3 linked regions of the Caenorhabditis elegans genome follow. The protein of the gene in region 1 interacts with the protein of each later gene in a pairwise test. Each region holds a gene or a part of one and is shown in the gene's direction. Other genes may lie near its edges.

The links. Proteins that work in one complex are often made in the same cells at the same time.
Region 2: the proteins of nhr-41 (region 1) and mpz-5 interact in a two-hybrid assay, tested with the Caenorhabditis elegans proteins (one large-scale study listed by BioGRID).
Region 3: the proteins of nhr-41 (region 1) and ric-8 interact in a two-hybrid assay, tested with the Caenorhabditis elegans proteins (one large-scale study listed by BioGRID).

What each region holds. Positions count from the first base shown.
Region 1 is NC_003282.8:1,384,433-1,389,231, forward strand, and holds the start of nhr-41 (Nuclear Hormone Receptor family), read left to right. Parts: upstream 1-1,782; 5' UTR 1,783-1,856; coding exon 1,857-1,859; intron 1,860-3,410; coding exon 3,411-3,528; intron 3,529-3,581; coding exon 3,582-3,718; intron 3,719-3,783; exon of another isoform or gene 3,784-3,855; intron 3,856-4,175; coding exon 4,176-4,271; intron 4,272-4,799.
Region 2 is NC_003282.8:10,372,094-10,375,575, reverse strand, and holds mpz-5 (PDZ domain-containing protein), read left to right. Parts: upstream 1-1,753; 5' UTR 1,754-1,790; coding exon 1,791-1,814; intron 1,815-1,858; coding exon 1,859-1,969; intron 1,970-2,048; coding exon 2,049-2,177; intron 2,178-2,221; coding exon 2,222-2,347; intron 2,348-2,393; coding exon 2,394-2,480; intron 2,481-2,520; coding exon 2,521-2,910; 3' UTR 2,911-2,938; downstream 2,939-3,482. Other genes in the region: Ankyrin repeat and KH domain-containing protein mask-1, read right to left, coding at 83-252, 299-466, 517-630; iars-1 (Isoleucine--tRNA ligase, cytoplasmic), read right to left, coding at 3,097-3,219, 3,276-3,401, 3,455-3,482.
Region 3 is NC_003282.8:2,641,038-2,649,022, forward strand, and holds the start of ric-8 (Chaperone ric-8), read left to right. Parts: upstream 1-1,941; 5' UTR 1,942-1,949; coding exon 1,950-2,087; intron 2,088-2,136; coding exon 2,137-2,238; intron 2,239-2,323; coding exon 2,324-2,408; coding exon of another isoform or gene 2,409-2,466; coding exon 2,467-2,536; intron 2,537-2,725; coding exon 2,726-2,903; coding exon of another isoform or gene 2,904-2,930; intron 2,931-3,376; coding exon 3,377-3,547; intron 3,548-4,323; coding exon 4,324-4,734; intron 4,735-6,076; coding exon 6,077-6,224; intron 6,225-7,508; coding exon 7,509-7,653; intron 7,654-7,704; coding exon 7,705-7,832; intron 7,833-7,985. Other genes in the region: nduv-3 (NADH dehydrogenase [ubiquinone] flavoprotein 3, mitochondrial), read left to right, coding at 275-374, 831-982. UniProt on the Caenorhabditis elegans protein: Chaperone that specifically binds and folds some, but not all, nascent G alpha proteins prior to G protein heterotrimer formation, promoting their stability and activity.

The sequences.
Region 1 (4,799 bases):
ACATAATTTATAGTTCTAAAATATTTTCTGAAAATTTCTGAAAATGATTTTTCAGGAAGTTTTCAATAGTTTTTTACCGAAAAAAATCTTTGAAACTCTACTAAGAACTTCTTAATATAAAAACTCGAATTCTTCATCAAAATTCTAGTCAAATTGGCCCCCATATTGAGCCATTTCCTATAAGTTTGAAAAATAGGTCGCGGTGGCTTCGCTGGGTAGAGGTTGGGCTGACGCGCGGAAGACAGGGGTTCAATCCCCGCTGTAGGTGAATATTTTTGTGAGACTTTTTCCATCTAACAAGAAAAGAATCTCGAGTTGGAAACTAGGTTGAACCCTGTATGTGAAATTTTTGGCCCAAAAAACCGGAAATTTTCAATTTTCGCCGCGATGGCTCAGTGGCTAACAGGTTTGGCTGTGAATCTCGACACCAGGGTTCGACCCCAGCCGGTCCCAAATTTTTTTTCCGGTACATTTTTGATCATATGAAATGGGTAAATATTGTCGAAAAAAATTTCCAAAAAAAAATTAACAACAAATCCTCACAGCTAATACTTAAGCAACAAAGCCGCTCACCTATAAATTATCTTAATGAAAATGAAAAAAGAAAATCCGCCCCGGCCGGCACAGAAGAAAAAAATTATTTAACAGATTGAGTTCACGGCTCCGCTAAACACCGATTATCCCCCGGTAGCGGGGGATATGATTTTTGGGGATTTTTCAAGGATTTTCTATACTTTCCATATTTTGATGAAAAAAATTTTACTCCATCAGTGTAACTTTTTTGACAAAATTTGTGAGAGTTACATTTTTGTAAATTTTTTCCAAAATAATGAAAAAAATGTGTGTAATGTCAAAATTACTTTAAAACAGGGGAAACTATGTTAAATTAAGCTGTGCAAAAATGTTCTGGTGCACGTTGGGGTCGAGCCCTTGACCTTCTGCGCCATAGCCTAACATGTACCCAGTTCAGCACACATTTTCACGAAATTTCTAAAAAATTTCAAAATTATCTTAATTAGGCCAATATGGGAGTCACGTTGAAATTTAATGGAGAATTCGAATTTGACGTTTAATTTACTAAAATTTAATTTTTTCAACGAAAATTACTCGACACATGGAAAGTGTTGAAAACTAGTTTCTAGCTCGAAATTTTGTATTTTTGTCACTCAAAAAATTGCAACAAAAACTTATGACCAAGCTGGGACTCGAACCCCTGACCTTCTGCACCATAACCCAGCCTCTACCCGATTGAGCCACTTCGCCCCATTTTCCGAAATTTTTGACAATTTAAAAACTACCGAAATAGGTCAATATGGGGGTCATATTGACGGAAATTTTTTGTAAAATTCGAATTTTTAGGTTTAAAACGTTTAAACCCAAATGCTAAAGACTTAAATGTTCGTTTTCCTCAAAAGTTGTGACCTTTTTTTTTGCAACTTTGTTATACCAAAACCGCAACACATAGTACAGTTCCCCCCGCCCCCAAAATTCGTTCCGCGTTGCTATTAGCATACAATGCCCCCCACGGTCACTCACCTCTGTGTGCACTCTCCCGGTTTCGCGCACTATTTCCCACGCCGCGCGCCACACCGCTTGAAACATATTTCCAGTTGGTCAGCAGCGGCTGACTGACCGGCGGCGCGGTGATAAGGGGGAGAGTCTCCAGGAATAACGGTCTGAAACACCTCTCACTGTACTACTATATTATTCTCTCTTGTTTCTGTATACTCATGTACACTTTGCCAAAGTGCTCTGATCACCCACATCGTCCCCTTATTCTAGAAAATTCCACGTCATCAACTGGGCTAATATTTGCTGAGAGTCAAGCTTCAGCATCCCATCAAACTTGGATTAATATGGTGAGTTTTCTGAGGAAACGTTCATTTTTGTACATTTTTTAGGTTTTACTGAAGAACTAGCACTCAAATCGAAAATATTTCGGTACTTGTGTATTACATGTCCTCATTTTTAAATTAAATTAAACGGTTACTCGTGAATTTTTAGCTGCGAATCTCCAAAACCAAGCTCACGGCGAGCTCTCAAAGATCCTGAAAATAGCACTTTAACGAAGTAGTGAAGGGCCAATTTTCCAAATTTACTTTGGTAGCTCATATCTCAGCGGATAAATTTTTTACCGAAAAGTCATCAACTAATATGTTGTTGATATTTTTGTAAAGAACAAGTTTGTAGTTGAAAGTTTTTGTCAAAAAAATTGTTGTTTCAGATAGAAGCGCATGAAGTGCGGCAACTGCTGCTATTGCGATTTTAATGCTTTTATCTAAAACAAAAAACTTTTGGTAAAAACTTTTAACTACAAACTTGTTCTTTACAAAAAGTTCAACAATTTATCAGTTGATGACTTTTCTTTGAAAAATTTATCCGCAGAGATATGAGCTACCAAAGTGAATAAGGAAAATTGCTTGTTTTGATCGTAAAGTGCTTCGTTACAGTGCTATTTTAGGATATTTGAGAGCTCGCCGTGAGCTTGGTTCTGGAGATTCGCAGCTATCGAATGGCACAGGTTTCATATGCAAGTCCGATGGGCACCTTCTGACGGTTCCCTAGTTAGGAAATTTTATTTCCTAAGCCTAAAAATCCAAAAGTGTGGTTCACGTTTTTATTTTGCACAACTTAAAAAATTACTATAAAAATGAGGGCATGTAATACACAAGTACCAATATTTCAATTAAAATGTATTCAACGTTAAATTCTACACCAATTTACCGCACAATACAAAACAATTTCTGAAAAAAACTTTTTTTCGGGACAATTGTTTAAAAAATTTTTAAAGGCTAATTTTTCAATTTTTCAATTATTTTATTAAAACATTCGAATCTTCCGTCTAAAATCTCTAAAATCCGTTAATTTACCCCCATATTGCCCTATTTCCGATAAGTTAAATTTGGTCTCGGTGGCTCAGTCGGGTATCTGTTGGTCTAGACTATGACGCAGAAGACCGGGGTTCTAGTCCGGTAGGAGGGATTTTCTTTTTATTTTGATTTCTTGTACAAAATAACATGTAAAAGTCTAAATTATGGGAGTTAAAAAAAGATTTACGAAAAAAAAATTCTAAAATGAAATTCCTGTCACTCTAAAACTGTTTCAACCATCAAAACAGTTATAGTAAAAAATAAAAACCACAACTGGGCTCGAACCCTCGACCTTCTGACTCAGCCTAACCTCTGACCAGCTGAGCCACTGGGACCCAATTTTTTGACTTTTCTAAAAATTTCAAAATTTTTGTAAATTGGTCAATATGGGTGTCAACTTAACGGAAATTTCATGGAGAATTCGAATTTGACAATGAATATCTTTTAAAAAAATTCTCTGAATTTAAAGTTTGGAAAAATTGTCTTAAACAGGCTAATTAACTGGAAAGTTTATGAAAAATTATAATTTTCTTATTCCAGACGCTGGGTGACCCTTGCTCCGTCGAGCAACCCCCACCTCCACCCATCGATTTCTCACGGAGCCTAATTGCTCCGACCGCTATCAAACAAGAATCTCACCTAATTCCCTCAACGCCAGGTAATATTCTAATTAATTTTTTTCGAATAAAAAATAAATATAAATATGTTCAGGCACCCCAACAGCTTTCCAACCCCCACAGCATGCGAACACACCAATCCCTGGTATTCAGCCGAATTTGTTCAATCCGGCAATAATGGCGGCTCAACTAAACGTATTCAGCAACCCACAGTTGATGGCAATGATGCAGGTAAACTATTTTCTGCAAAAATGAGAATTCGGCAAAACTGGCAGTGCAAAAATAAAAAAATAAACTTCCCATGCCGGGAATCGAACCCGGGCCGCGTGGGTGAAAACCACGAATCCTAACCACTAGACCACATGGGAGGACGAAACGAGGAGGTCTCGAGTGCCTAGAGAAGAGTGTGCGGGAGGGGCCTGCTGACTGTAGCGGAAAAAGTTATATGGCGGGGGCAAAAAGAATGTCCAATTTTTTTCGAAAAAAAAACGAAATATCTCTCAAATTCTCGACCCTAATGAAAAATTACTATGTGTCTATGTGTGTGGAAGGTCATTCGATAACCTTTTTTTTCCCTCAAAAAAATATCATGAAAGGTTTGATCTCGTTTTCAAAAATATTTTTTAACTTTTGCCCCAAAATTTGTTTTTTTTTTGTTAAATTCTCCCTTAAATTTTTGAATTTCCAGGCTACCAGAAACCCATTGTTAGGACACCCGTCAGTTGTCGGTCCACCAATGATGCCAAATATCATTCAACAGCTAAATGCCCTTCGAAATGTTCAGGTAAAAAAAATGTTGCTCAAAGAACTTTTTTTCAAAAAAATTTTCCAATTTTTCCGATTTTCTAGGATTCCTTTTTATTTTAACACACTTTAACTATCCAAACAAACCTTGAGAAAAACATTTTCCCTTACTTGGGCTCGAACCCCGGTCTTGTGCGCTACAGCCCAACCTCTACCCAGTTGCGCCACTTCGATCCATTTTCAAAAATTTTAAAATAATTAGAATCCGGTCATTATGGGGGTCAAATTAACGGAAATTGCACGCAGAATCCGAATTTCGACATGAAAAACAATGAAAATCAATGCCTCAACCTAAAAAAACACAAAATTTTAACTAGAATTAAAACAATTTTAGGTTAGGACTTGGAGTTTTTCAAATCATTTACTAAATTTTCTGCGTATACCTAATATTCCAATACCCTTTTTTCCAAAAGTTTGGACTACAAGGACAGTGTCGCGAGCGCGCGCGCTCTCTCTAAAAACAGGTTTTGATCACCGGTCGAATTGTAGCTCCGCCCACTTTCCGGGG
Region 2 (3,482 bases), 9.0 Mb from region 1:
TATAAGTGCTAATTTATTTAAGGTGAATACTCGAAAAATTCCAATTACTTATTCAATCAAAAATTTCAATTTGAAAACTCACGAGTAAGCCATCGAGGAAACCGAGGTAAGTGCATCGACAGCATTTTTGATTGGAACCTTTTTGGGATCCAAAGGGTTGTACGGTCCAAATCTTTCAGGTTTTTCACTTTTATGATCTTCAAGAAGGTCGGATATTTTAAAAAGGATTTGACAATCATCCATTTGTCGACTCTGAAATTAATAAAAATCGAGACTTTAAACTAATTGAAATATTTACCTCAATTATATCGAGAAGGTTGGAGACCGGGGGAAATCGACACTTGTCCGATGAGAGGAAATGCTCAAAATTGAGAATTTTGAGAACAGTTGAGATGGCTTTTGTCGGAAAATGCTCACAGTCATCGTCTTCGATTTCGATGGCAATTGTGTGAAGGCAATCGTAAAGCTAAAATATAAATTTATTGAAATTTTTTTAGTCGAACAAAAATAGCTCACCCTAGCACCAAAGTGGTAAAAAGATGAAAAAACTCGTTGTCGTTTTTCTTCGTCTGCTCCATCCATATCCATTTCTAATGGAATGAGGTGATTGAACATATTAAGGTGAGCCATTCCACCTTTGGCTAAACTAACACGGTGGTCTCGTCGCTTCTGAAATTTTTAAAATAATTGATATTGGAAAATTCTGAATTTTTAAGCAAAAAGGAAAATACAAAGAAAAATGATTGTTTTAACTGAAACAATAATCTTAATGGTAACTTTTCAAAACAAAAATTTTCTTCCGGAAACCTATGTGGCAGGTGAAGAGGATAACCCATAATTTCAAAATGTTGGAAAACAATTTATTGTGTTTCTTCCATGAAAGTAAGACACAGGCGATGTTCGGAGAAGTTGTAGGCGCGTGACAGACATAATACACGTCTTCTTCCATCTGCCCTTTTCGTTTCACTATCGGAACAACGGCATGGCAACGGGCATGAGGAGGAAAGGAATTAGGGAGGATGTGAGAAGATGAATCGATGGATGATAGTGATAAAGAAGGAACATATTGATTATTGTTCGCAATAACATTCTAGAAAATTTAGAAAATCCTAAAATTAGCATTCAAAAAAATAAATGACTTCGTAGATCCGAAACGCATGTTACTTTTTGAATTAAACATAATGATTTCTTAACAATCGATATAAACAATTTTCTCAAATATATTAAAACTAACTTTATCAAAACTAGAAAAAAATTATGGAGGATAATCCGAATACTCGCGCATAACGCATCCTCCTTTTCCCTAACGAAATCCAGTTACGAGCAATAGAAATGTAAACGAAGTAATATGAAAAATGATTTTGCAAACTTCAAAAATTAAATGAAACTGAAAAATTCAATATTCCTCCCAAAACCATGCAAGAATTGAGTCTTGGAAAGCTGGTTGGCAAATTCGAAAGAAAATAATGGGTTCGTAAAAGCGTCAGCACGAGAATTGCGCCAGCAACTTGTGCTGACGCATTTGCTGTGCGTGCTCCCAAAAAATAAAAAAAAGGTTTTTATGTTTTGTGAATAAAAAAAAGTTCTGTACAGAATTCTGTTTAAATGTTTGTAAAAAACAGAAATCGACAATTCGTGATAAAGAAGAATAGTTTTAAAAATTGTGTTATTTTAATATTAAATTTAATGTCACGTTTCCAATTATTTGGATTTAAGAAAACGTTTTATAAAACCTGAAAATCAAAAAAAAATCATTTCCCAATTGAGTTTTCATACAAACCGATCGAATTATGAAGAAAAATGAAAGCGGCAGCGTAAGACAACTGAAACGATTCAAAATAAACATAAATGAATTAAGTTGGCTCTTGATAAAGATTTCAACATTGACAAGCTTTTGCCAAAGGAATTGATCGACCATTTCATGATTCGAAAGCCAATAGGAGTTCGTGTACACAAGCAGGATTGTCGGGTAATTGTCAAATAGTATTTATTCAAATTCTTGAGCTCTTGATCTTGATTTTGGGACACCATACATAATTCATATTCAGATCACACATGTCCTTCCTGAATCACATCTTATTGGAAAAGCATTTCTAGGTGATTGTATCACTGCAATCGATGAAAAAGTTATCCACACTAGTGACGAGTTGCACCAAAAGTTGAAAGAGAAAACTGAGGTGTTAATATTTCTGAATCGAGTGTTTGCAAACGAAAATTTCAGAATATTCATCTACAACTGAAACGTAACATGTTTTCCTGGTGTTTTCATATTCGAACAACTGTTGAGAAAATCCAAATTGACAGAGATTTAGAGAGAATCACTCCAAATCCTGTTAACCATTACTTTGTGAGACAGCTTTTTAAAAATTAAAAAAAAAACTTTCTTATTTTAGGTTCTCATAAAAGTTCGTCCAACTCCTGAAATGCAATTCATTGACTTGGGATTATTTGTCAAATATAACAATAGAGATCGTTTGGAGGTAATTTAAACTTACAGTAACCACCGCATTTCATTTTCAGGTTGATTATGTTACTCCAAACAGCTTAGCATCCATCCATCTGAAATCTGGAGATGTCATTCGGGAGTGTAATTCTCAGGCAATTTGCTCGAAGAGCATGCTCCGTTATTGTATTGCGAGCAGCATCGCTTCTTCTGGACACTTTACGCTTCTTATTGAAGCACCAATTCGAGATATTCTCAGAGATCACATTGATTTGGCAGATGATGTTGTGGCAATTGCTGATAAGGCGGTAGAGGAGTTCAGAAAATTGGGGAAAGGATATCTACCACAACAACCGAAGAAAGGAGATAAGAAGAAAAACATCAAATTGAAAGAGGGACGTACAGAACATCAGATCGTTAGTGACATTGATCCTGCTAAACTGAGAGCGTGTAAAAATGCTAGCTGAATTTCTCTGATAATAAAGTTTCTACATTAAAATCCTTAAACATTCATAATTAAATATTATACGTTAACAGCAAACAAAATAGTGTAAGAAACAAATATGAGAAAAACTGCGGTTCAAATGGGTTCAAATAAAGCCAGGAACTAAAATGCGAACCGGATATGGATAATTTAAAGATGTAATAGCAATTTATCGTACGAGTTGAAGAGTCTGACCAACAAGAGACGTCACGTCAACTGTTGGATGGACCGCCGATCCATCGACATTCTTCAAGGCAATCTTACCGTTCCAGAGATCAAGAGCAGAGCGAACCTGAAACAAAAACAGATTTAACATTTTAAATTTCTAGGAAAACCCGATAAACATACGTGATATAGAAGATCAGCATATCCCTTCAGGTGTTCTTTTTCTGTTTTCACATGAACTCGAACTTTCTTTGATCCATCAACAACAGTGATCCCATCGAAACTGTCACCTTCGGCGAACAACCAAAGCTGAAAATAATTGTTCAGGAATATTAGAGAACATCAACAAAAACGGAATTTACCTCAACTTCTGAATCCTTAATTGCACTC
Region 3 (7,985 bases), 1.3 Mb from region 1:
ATAAAAACTGATTAAAAATCGAAGAAAAATGACCGAAAACGCGCCGCAAACAGTTTAAGATTCGAATTCTCCCGCCGAAACAATTGCACGAGAAACGCGCCAATAAACATCACGAAACGCGCCAGCAAGCGTCCAAGGCACATATCGATTTTTCTCGCGACTCGGAAAAGAAATTAATTAAAAATCTCGAAAATCATCGATTTTCATTGTTTCTTTCAGTTTTTTCATTGATTTTTTGGTAAAATAATTGATAAATAAGTTTTTTTTTTCAGAAATGAACCGCTTGATGGTTATTTCGGCTCGTCGGATGGCGTCGGCGGCTCCAAAAACGAGCACCGGAATCGAGCACGCAGAGAAGGCCAGACAGGTCGCTGGTATGGCTTTCTGAAACTCTAAACTAGATAATAATCCGTCATAATATTGTATTGAAAAAGTTTAAGCCAAAAAATTCCTTAAAAATAGCTGAAAAAGTTGAATTTTTGCGGAAATGGCACGAAAATTCGATGTTTCCCGTAAAATCACTGAAATATTTGATTTTTTGCATTAGAACTTGTGAATAGCTAAATTTTTAGTTACAATTTCATTGAAAAAAGCTAGTTTCTGCAAAAAATGTCGATTTTTCGCCATTTTTCTTGTTAAAATCGATTTTAGCCGAAAATATTCTGATTAAACATTAAAAATGAGCAGAATATCGATTTTTGTCAGAAAAAAAAACTATGAAAAGTCTAATTTTCTGGAAAAATGTGCATTTTTCTAGAAAAAAAATCGAATTTCAGACAAGTTTTTCCCAATTTCCATCCAATTTCCACGCAAAATCTCTCAATTTTCAGGCGGAAAACCCGATTGGTCACTGTACAAATGCGACGAATACCTGAAATTCGACAAATACTCGTACGCTCACGCCGAAATCACCATGAACAAGGATCGTGTCGTTCAGCCGTCCTACAAGAAGGCCGACGTTCTTCCGAAAGTTCGAGCTTAATCTTTTTTCGACATTTTCTGTGTGAAAAATAGAGTTTTCGGTGGATTTTATCATTTTTTTTGTGTAGATTTTTCGTATAAATATGAGTTTTTACATAGATTTTTTAATTTTATTGATTTCATGGCTGTTTCCATGCTTAATTATCTAGTAACAAGTCGTTGAAAAACGAAAAAAACACAACGATGCTCCGATGTTCCGCACGTGCATGTTGTTTATCATTGCTCAAAAAATGGCGGTTTTTCGAATTTTTTTTGTGAATTTTTGCTGTTTTTCCGCCTAAAAAAATAAATTTTAACACAATAATAAGCCGAAGCACAATTTTTCTTTAATGCCTGCTCGTTCCCACGGTGATTGCCGCCACAAGGGATTACCTAGCAGCGAGTTTCCATGGTGATGGGCGTCGCTAGCTTTTGTTCAGAGAAGCAGATGTCATATTCATTGAATTTTTAATTTTTTCAATCAAAATCGCATTATTTTCGAGAGATTCGAGGGAAAAATCGAAAAAATTGCAAAATTTTGATCGAAATTGTTGATTTTCATTATTTTTCGCAATTACTTCAATGAAAAATCACTTCAAAATGACCAAAAATGGTGTTTCGATGCAAATAATAAGGGTTTTTTTTTCAGAATAAGCTAGTGAAAAAAAAAAAATCGAATTTTCACTATTTTTCTCCTCGTTTCTTTGATTCTGCCATAAATACGATTGGAGAGAGTAAAATCTGAAATTTTTCCGAAAACCAGTTAAAATTCTGTTATTTTTCAACAAAAACCGTAAAAAAAATCATTAAAAACCTCGGAAAAAAAGTAATTTTTCGCTTTTTTTAAAACAATTTTTAACGATGCTCCGAAATCCCGCATGCGCGTGCTGTTTAGCATCACAAAAATTCGCGATTTTTTGAATTGTTCGATCCTGAAATTGCATTTTTTCTCGTAAATAATTAATTTTTCATGATTTTCAGGCAATTCCATGTCTGAAGAACTACATTCCGACCTGATTGCGTCGATTTTCGGCGGGAAGCCTGCCAAAATCGAGGAATTCTTCTCGAAATGGAATTTCGCGAACGCCGCTGTCTCAAAATTCGATATGGCGAACTCGGCAAAGAATGTGAGAGATTTTAATTAATTAGTTTTTGCAATAAATTTCCAGTTTTCAGGAGCTCGGAGACCGGATTTGTGAGGTTATAGAAAACGGAGAGCTGACCCACGTGCTGCTGGAGACGATAAAGATTTTGAGTAGGGAAAAAGATGGATTGGAGGTAGGGAAATACTACGCAATTTTGAACTGAAAATTCGGATTTTTCAGCTAAAAAACTAAAAAACCCCAATTTTCCCAATTTCCAGGGCCTCCTGAACGACCCGCTCTGCGATAAAATCCTCGCCTTCGCGGAACTCTCGTCAAACGAAAATAACTCGAAAACTGTCCACAGTAAGGCAATTTTGAGCCTAAAAATTCTCGAATTTCCCGCCAAAAATCATAATTTCAGCACTAATGGAGGCGCAAAAATGTCTAATCAACACTTTGTTTCACTCACAACGAATGAGAGATCGATTTTAGTGAGTTTTCAATTGAAAAATCGATTTTAAAGTGATTTTTTGCATAGGAAAGTGTAAAAAATCCTTTAAAAGTGGAAAAAAAGGTTATTTTCCGAAAAAAAAATTAGAAAAAAATCTATAAAATCTGATTTTTAATTGAATTTCTAAGAAAATTAGCTAAAAATTAGAAAAAAAACACGATTTTTGCAGTGCAAACCCGAAAACTGGTGAAAATTTGCAATTTTTCCTCGGAGAATTCGAGGAAAACCGCCGAAAAACGTCGTCAATCGATTGGATTCGCCTTCTGAATCCGGTTCAAGCCGCCGAAATTTGGTATTTCTATCATCGGATCGCTTTTATTGCAACTGCATTGGGCAGGGAATTTCAGGTGCTCGAAACGACACGAAAAATTTGAATTTTTTGACACAAAAATGACCCGAATTTTGGAGAAAACTCGTGTAAAATCGGCAGAAAAATCGAGCGTTTTTTACTGGAAATACACATATTTTTCGAGTTTTGAGCGATGCCACGCGTTGCGGTTGCGTCGCGGTTCAATAAATTCAGATTTCTCAGAAAAAATTTGAATTTTCTGCCTGAAAAAACCGATTTTTGTGTGATTTTTATCGGCAAATTTAGTTTTTAAAAACTGTGGACCGCGCGTTGCGGTCGCGTCGCGGTTCGAAATTTTTTTTATTATTTCAGATTTTTTTTTACAAAAAATTTTGGAAAACATAAAAATTATAGGTTTTTAATCAATTTTTACAAAAAATAAATTTTTTTATTTCAATTTTTATGAGAAAATCTGCGAATATTCATGAAAATTTTTAGTTTTTTTGTGAAAAACTAATTTTTTTTTTGCAGAAAAACTGGGCCAACGACCCAAAAACCATTGATTCTCTGCTTTTGGCCGTCGAAATTTGCACAAATCGATCAGAAAACAGCACTCAGGATATAAATCGAGCTACCGAGGCGTTGAAGACGTTTTTCAACGTTTTTTGCCATTTTCACGGAGATGTGAAGGCTATTGATCATGTAAAAATTCAAAAAAAAAAAAAAAACTGAAATACCAAAATTTATACCTTAAAAATGCGATTTTTTGAATTTTTTAAAACTTTTTTTTTTTAAACTACAAAAATTCGAGTTTTTAACTTGAAATTCCAAATTAAAAAAAAAAATTCATATAAAAACTTCCAATTTTCGTACGATTAATCGGTGAAATTTTCCGGTTTTTCAGGAATTTTCATTGAAAAATATCAAAAATCCAAAAATGACGATTTTCTATAGAAATCGTCATAAAAAATGCAATTTTTTGAGATTTTTGAGGTTTTTTTAGATTAAAAAAAAGATAAAAATCATCGATTTTCGTTTTATTTTCATTTTTTTTAAATCATGAAATATCACTCTATTTTTATTTTCCAAAAAAACAAATTAATTTAATATATAATTATATATCATATTTTTTTTGAATTGAGCAGAAAAATTCTGAGAAACTTCCTGAAATTGGCCCAAAAAATAAAAAATAAATTAAAAATTTGCGAAAAAAAAATTTCTTTTTTTTTCGCTTTTTTCGCATTTTTTCTGAATTTTCGTTTTTTTTCAGCTTTAAATTCTCGTGAAAATTCTTCTAAATTGCGGTAAATTTTGTAAAATTATCTAGGAATGTCAGAATTTTTTAAAATTTTTTTAAAGCACATTTCTGAAAAAATTCATTTATTTTTCAAATTTTTAACCCCAAAAGTATCAAAAATTCCATAAAAAATGTCAAAGTTTTGCTACAAATTACGACGAAAAAAAGTTTTTTTTTTCAGAAAAACGCGGCAAAAACGTGCCAAATCCTTCGTGACGCAATTTGCTCCGATGTGCTCACCGATGACGTCGTTCAATCTGCAATTCATTGCTTATCAGTTCCACCACTACCAATGGTCCTCTCAGTACTTTGTGGAAAAAATTCAAAAAATAACGGAGGAGAAAACGAGGAGGAGAAATTCTTTGTTGAGGAACTTAGCAATATGCAGCTCACCGAGGCAATTCTCATGCATTTGGATAAGCAACTAACAAAAGTCGTTGCTCTACTGCTCAATGATGCTCCAAATCAGCAGCAGAATCCAATGTTGTCGGCAGAAGCTTCAACACTTACAGATCTTGTTGGACCATATTTTCAAGTTCTCGCTAGGCTTTGTACGGATAGTAAATATGTTCGCAGATATTGTAGAATTCGGGTTCGTGAAAAAAAAAACACTTGATAGGGAAATTTTGAAAATTTCACTGCAACTTTTTCCTCACGAGGGACGAGGAAAAGTGGTTTCTAGGCCATGGCCGAGGGGCCGACAAGTTTCAGCGGCCATTTATCTTGCTTTGTTTTCCGCCTGTTTTCTTTCGTTTTTCACTGATTTTTTTCGTTTTTTTCTTAAGAAAACTGATAAATAAATATTTTTTGCAGATGCTAAAACAATTTCCAAGTAAAAAAATTATGTATTCAGTGGGCAAGTAGCGGATGTGCGAAAATCTCGACTTTTTCACCAAAAAAGTTGAATTTTGGAAACCTCAAAACTTTTTCAGCGGTCTCGTTATGAAAATCAGGTAGTCTCAGCATTTAAGCAGCATATGTATTATGTTTCAGAAAAAGTTTAGGTTTTGTATTCCCGTAATCCATCATATTACAATGCCCACTTTCACCGCTGCTTGCCCACTGAATACATAAATTTTTTCACTTGGAAATTGTTTTAGCATCTGCAAAAAATATTTATTTTCAGTTTTAATAAGAAAAAACGGGAAAAAGCTGTGAAAAACAAAAGAAAACAGGCGGAAAACAAAGCAAGATAAATGGCCGCTGAAACTTGTCGGCCCCTCGGCCATGGCCTAGAAACCACTTTTCCTCGTCCCTCGTGAGGAAAAAGTTGCAGTGTTGATAGGGAAATTTTGAAAATTTGAAAAAAATTCAAGACATTTTATAAAAAATTTAAAAAAAAATCTTCCGCCTCTATGAAAAAAAAATGATCTGATTTAAAAAAACATTTTTCACAAAATACATCAGTAAAATTATTAAAGATGGGGTACCGAAATCCGGGAAATATTTTTAATTGACTCCAAATTTTTCCCTGATTCCGAATTTCGATGTGAAAAAATTCAAAAAAAATTCCCTGATTTTCTATTTGGGCTTCAAATCGCGCATTTCATTTGTGCACCCATGAACTTTTTTCAAATTCGCGCCGAAAAAAATTATCCCCGGAGCGCGTTTTGAAATTAATTGAGACAAACGCGCTCCAAGGATAATTTATTTCGGCGCGAATTTGAAAAAAGTTCATGGGTGCACAAATGAACTGCGCGATTTTAGGCTCTAATATAAAATCAAGGAAATTTTTTTGAATTTTTTCACTTAGATATTCGGAATCAGAGAGCAAATTTGGAGTCAATTAAAAAGGTATATAGAAAAATTTATTCATGTTCTGATTAAAAAATTTTTTTTTCACAAAATACACTAGTAAAATTATTAAAAAATTATATGAAAATGTCGTTTTTGAAAGCTTCAAAAAAAAATTCAAAATTTTCGAATTTTTGCAGGTAATTCCCCCACTGGTATCAGAAGAAGTGCAAAAACGGCCGGAGGAGAACAATACACTACGTGGCCGAATCGCTAGAATTATGATGCTTCCGTCGTCAACGAAAGATGTCGCCGCCGAGTTCCTTTTCATTATTTGCAAGAGATCAGGTACGAAATTAACTTAATTCAAAGTTTTTTTTTTAAGTTAGAGTACAGAAATCTGGAAAAAATTTCGAATGACTTCAAATATTCCCCTGATTCCAATAATATCTATGTGAAAAATTCAGAAAAAAAATCCCTGCGAATTTTGTGGCGCCAAAGACGCCTTGTGTGTCGATTTACGAGAATTGTGTATATTTACGAAATGTTTAATCTTTATCAGATGCTGACTTCCCCCTTTTTTCTACGAGTTTCCCTGATTTTCGGCTATTTTTAAGGTCTATTAAGGTATAAAAAAATTTGCAAAATGTTCGGTTTTCAGTCGGAAAAAGCTTCAATTTGGATGGATTTTCCGTCAAGGAGTGCAACCTAAGCAAATATTTCGTAAATATACACAAATCTCGTAAATCGACACAAGGCGTCTCTGGCGCCACAAAATTCGTGATTTCAATCAAGCTTGAAATATAAAATCAGGGAAATTTTTTTTTTGAATTTTTTCACAAAGATATTCGGAATCAATGTTGTGGCACCCGGAGGCGGCGACCGAGCCTTTAAGCCGTAACGAAGAGTGACTCGAGACCGAAGAAAGAGTATGTATAGTCTGGAAGGAGCGCTGTGGCAGTGCGGATGAATGCGGTGGTCTTGCTCCCGAGGAGACTTGAATATAGAGCTAGTGACAGAACAAATGTATAAATATATTAATTTATATAGTAATTATAAGAATTACAATACAAGAGGGAGAGAGGATAAAGTAGGGGGAAGGCCTGGAAACTCCTTGGTTATTGGAGTTTGTCGGGTTCTCTTTGGTTATCAGAGATTGTCGGGTTCTCCTTGGATATCGGAGCAAGTACATGAATAATAGTGAGGGGCAATTACAAAGGAAAATGGGGGATGCGTCGGGAGAGAAGTGCCACGCACGACCGTTCGGCACGAGCGCAGCATCAAGACTGAAGTGGTGGCGTCCAATGGCTGCGTATCCTGTCGTCGCTTGAGTCGTCGCGCAGCTAATGTCGCTGTGGGGCGCGAGTGTGACTCTTGTGAGAGAGCGTATGAGAGCGAGAGACGCAGAAGAAAGAATGACTTCTGCGGCTCTTTGTCATAGAAACCTCGTCTGAGAGATCTCTGAAGAGATCGTAGGACGAGACATTGTGGAATGGCTCCCCATTCCACAACAATCAAGGGAAAATTTTGAGCCAATTCAAAATATTTCCCAGATTTCGGTACTCCGCCTTCAAAAACGTCAGTTTTGGAAAATTTGTGAGGGTTTATCTTTAAAAAATTCCCTTTTTCCAGTGAATCGAATGATCAAATACCTTGGATTCGGCCACTCGGCCGGTCACCTCGCAAATTTGGGTCTTCTCGGACAAATCAATCAACCAAAACACGCGTCGGACAGTGAGGATAGTGAAACTGAGGATTATAATCAGATTAAGGATAGGTATGCTATACTTTTTGTGCATAAAATCCATGGAAAAAAAGAGATTTTCAGTGTAAATCCAGTGACCGGAGCAATTTATCCATCGGATCACGGAAGTGCACTTGCCGGAATGTCTGAAGAGCAAAAAGAGTATGAAGCGATGAAGCTGGTTGATGCTATGAATCAAATGATGGAAACTGGTGAGAAATTCGGAGAAAATTGCGCGAAAATTTGATGAAATTTGACATAAAATTCAGGTTTTTTGCAGCAGAAAAATCTGGAAAACAATTGGTGAAATCCCCCCAAAAAAATATAAAAAATTGCACGAAATTTGATGAAATTCATCAAAATCG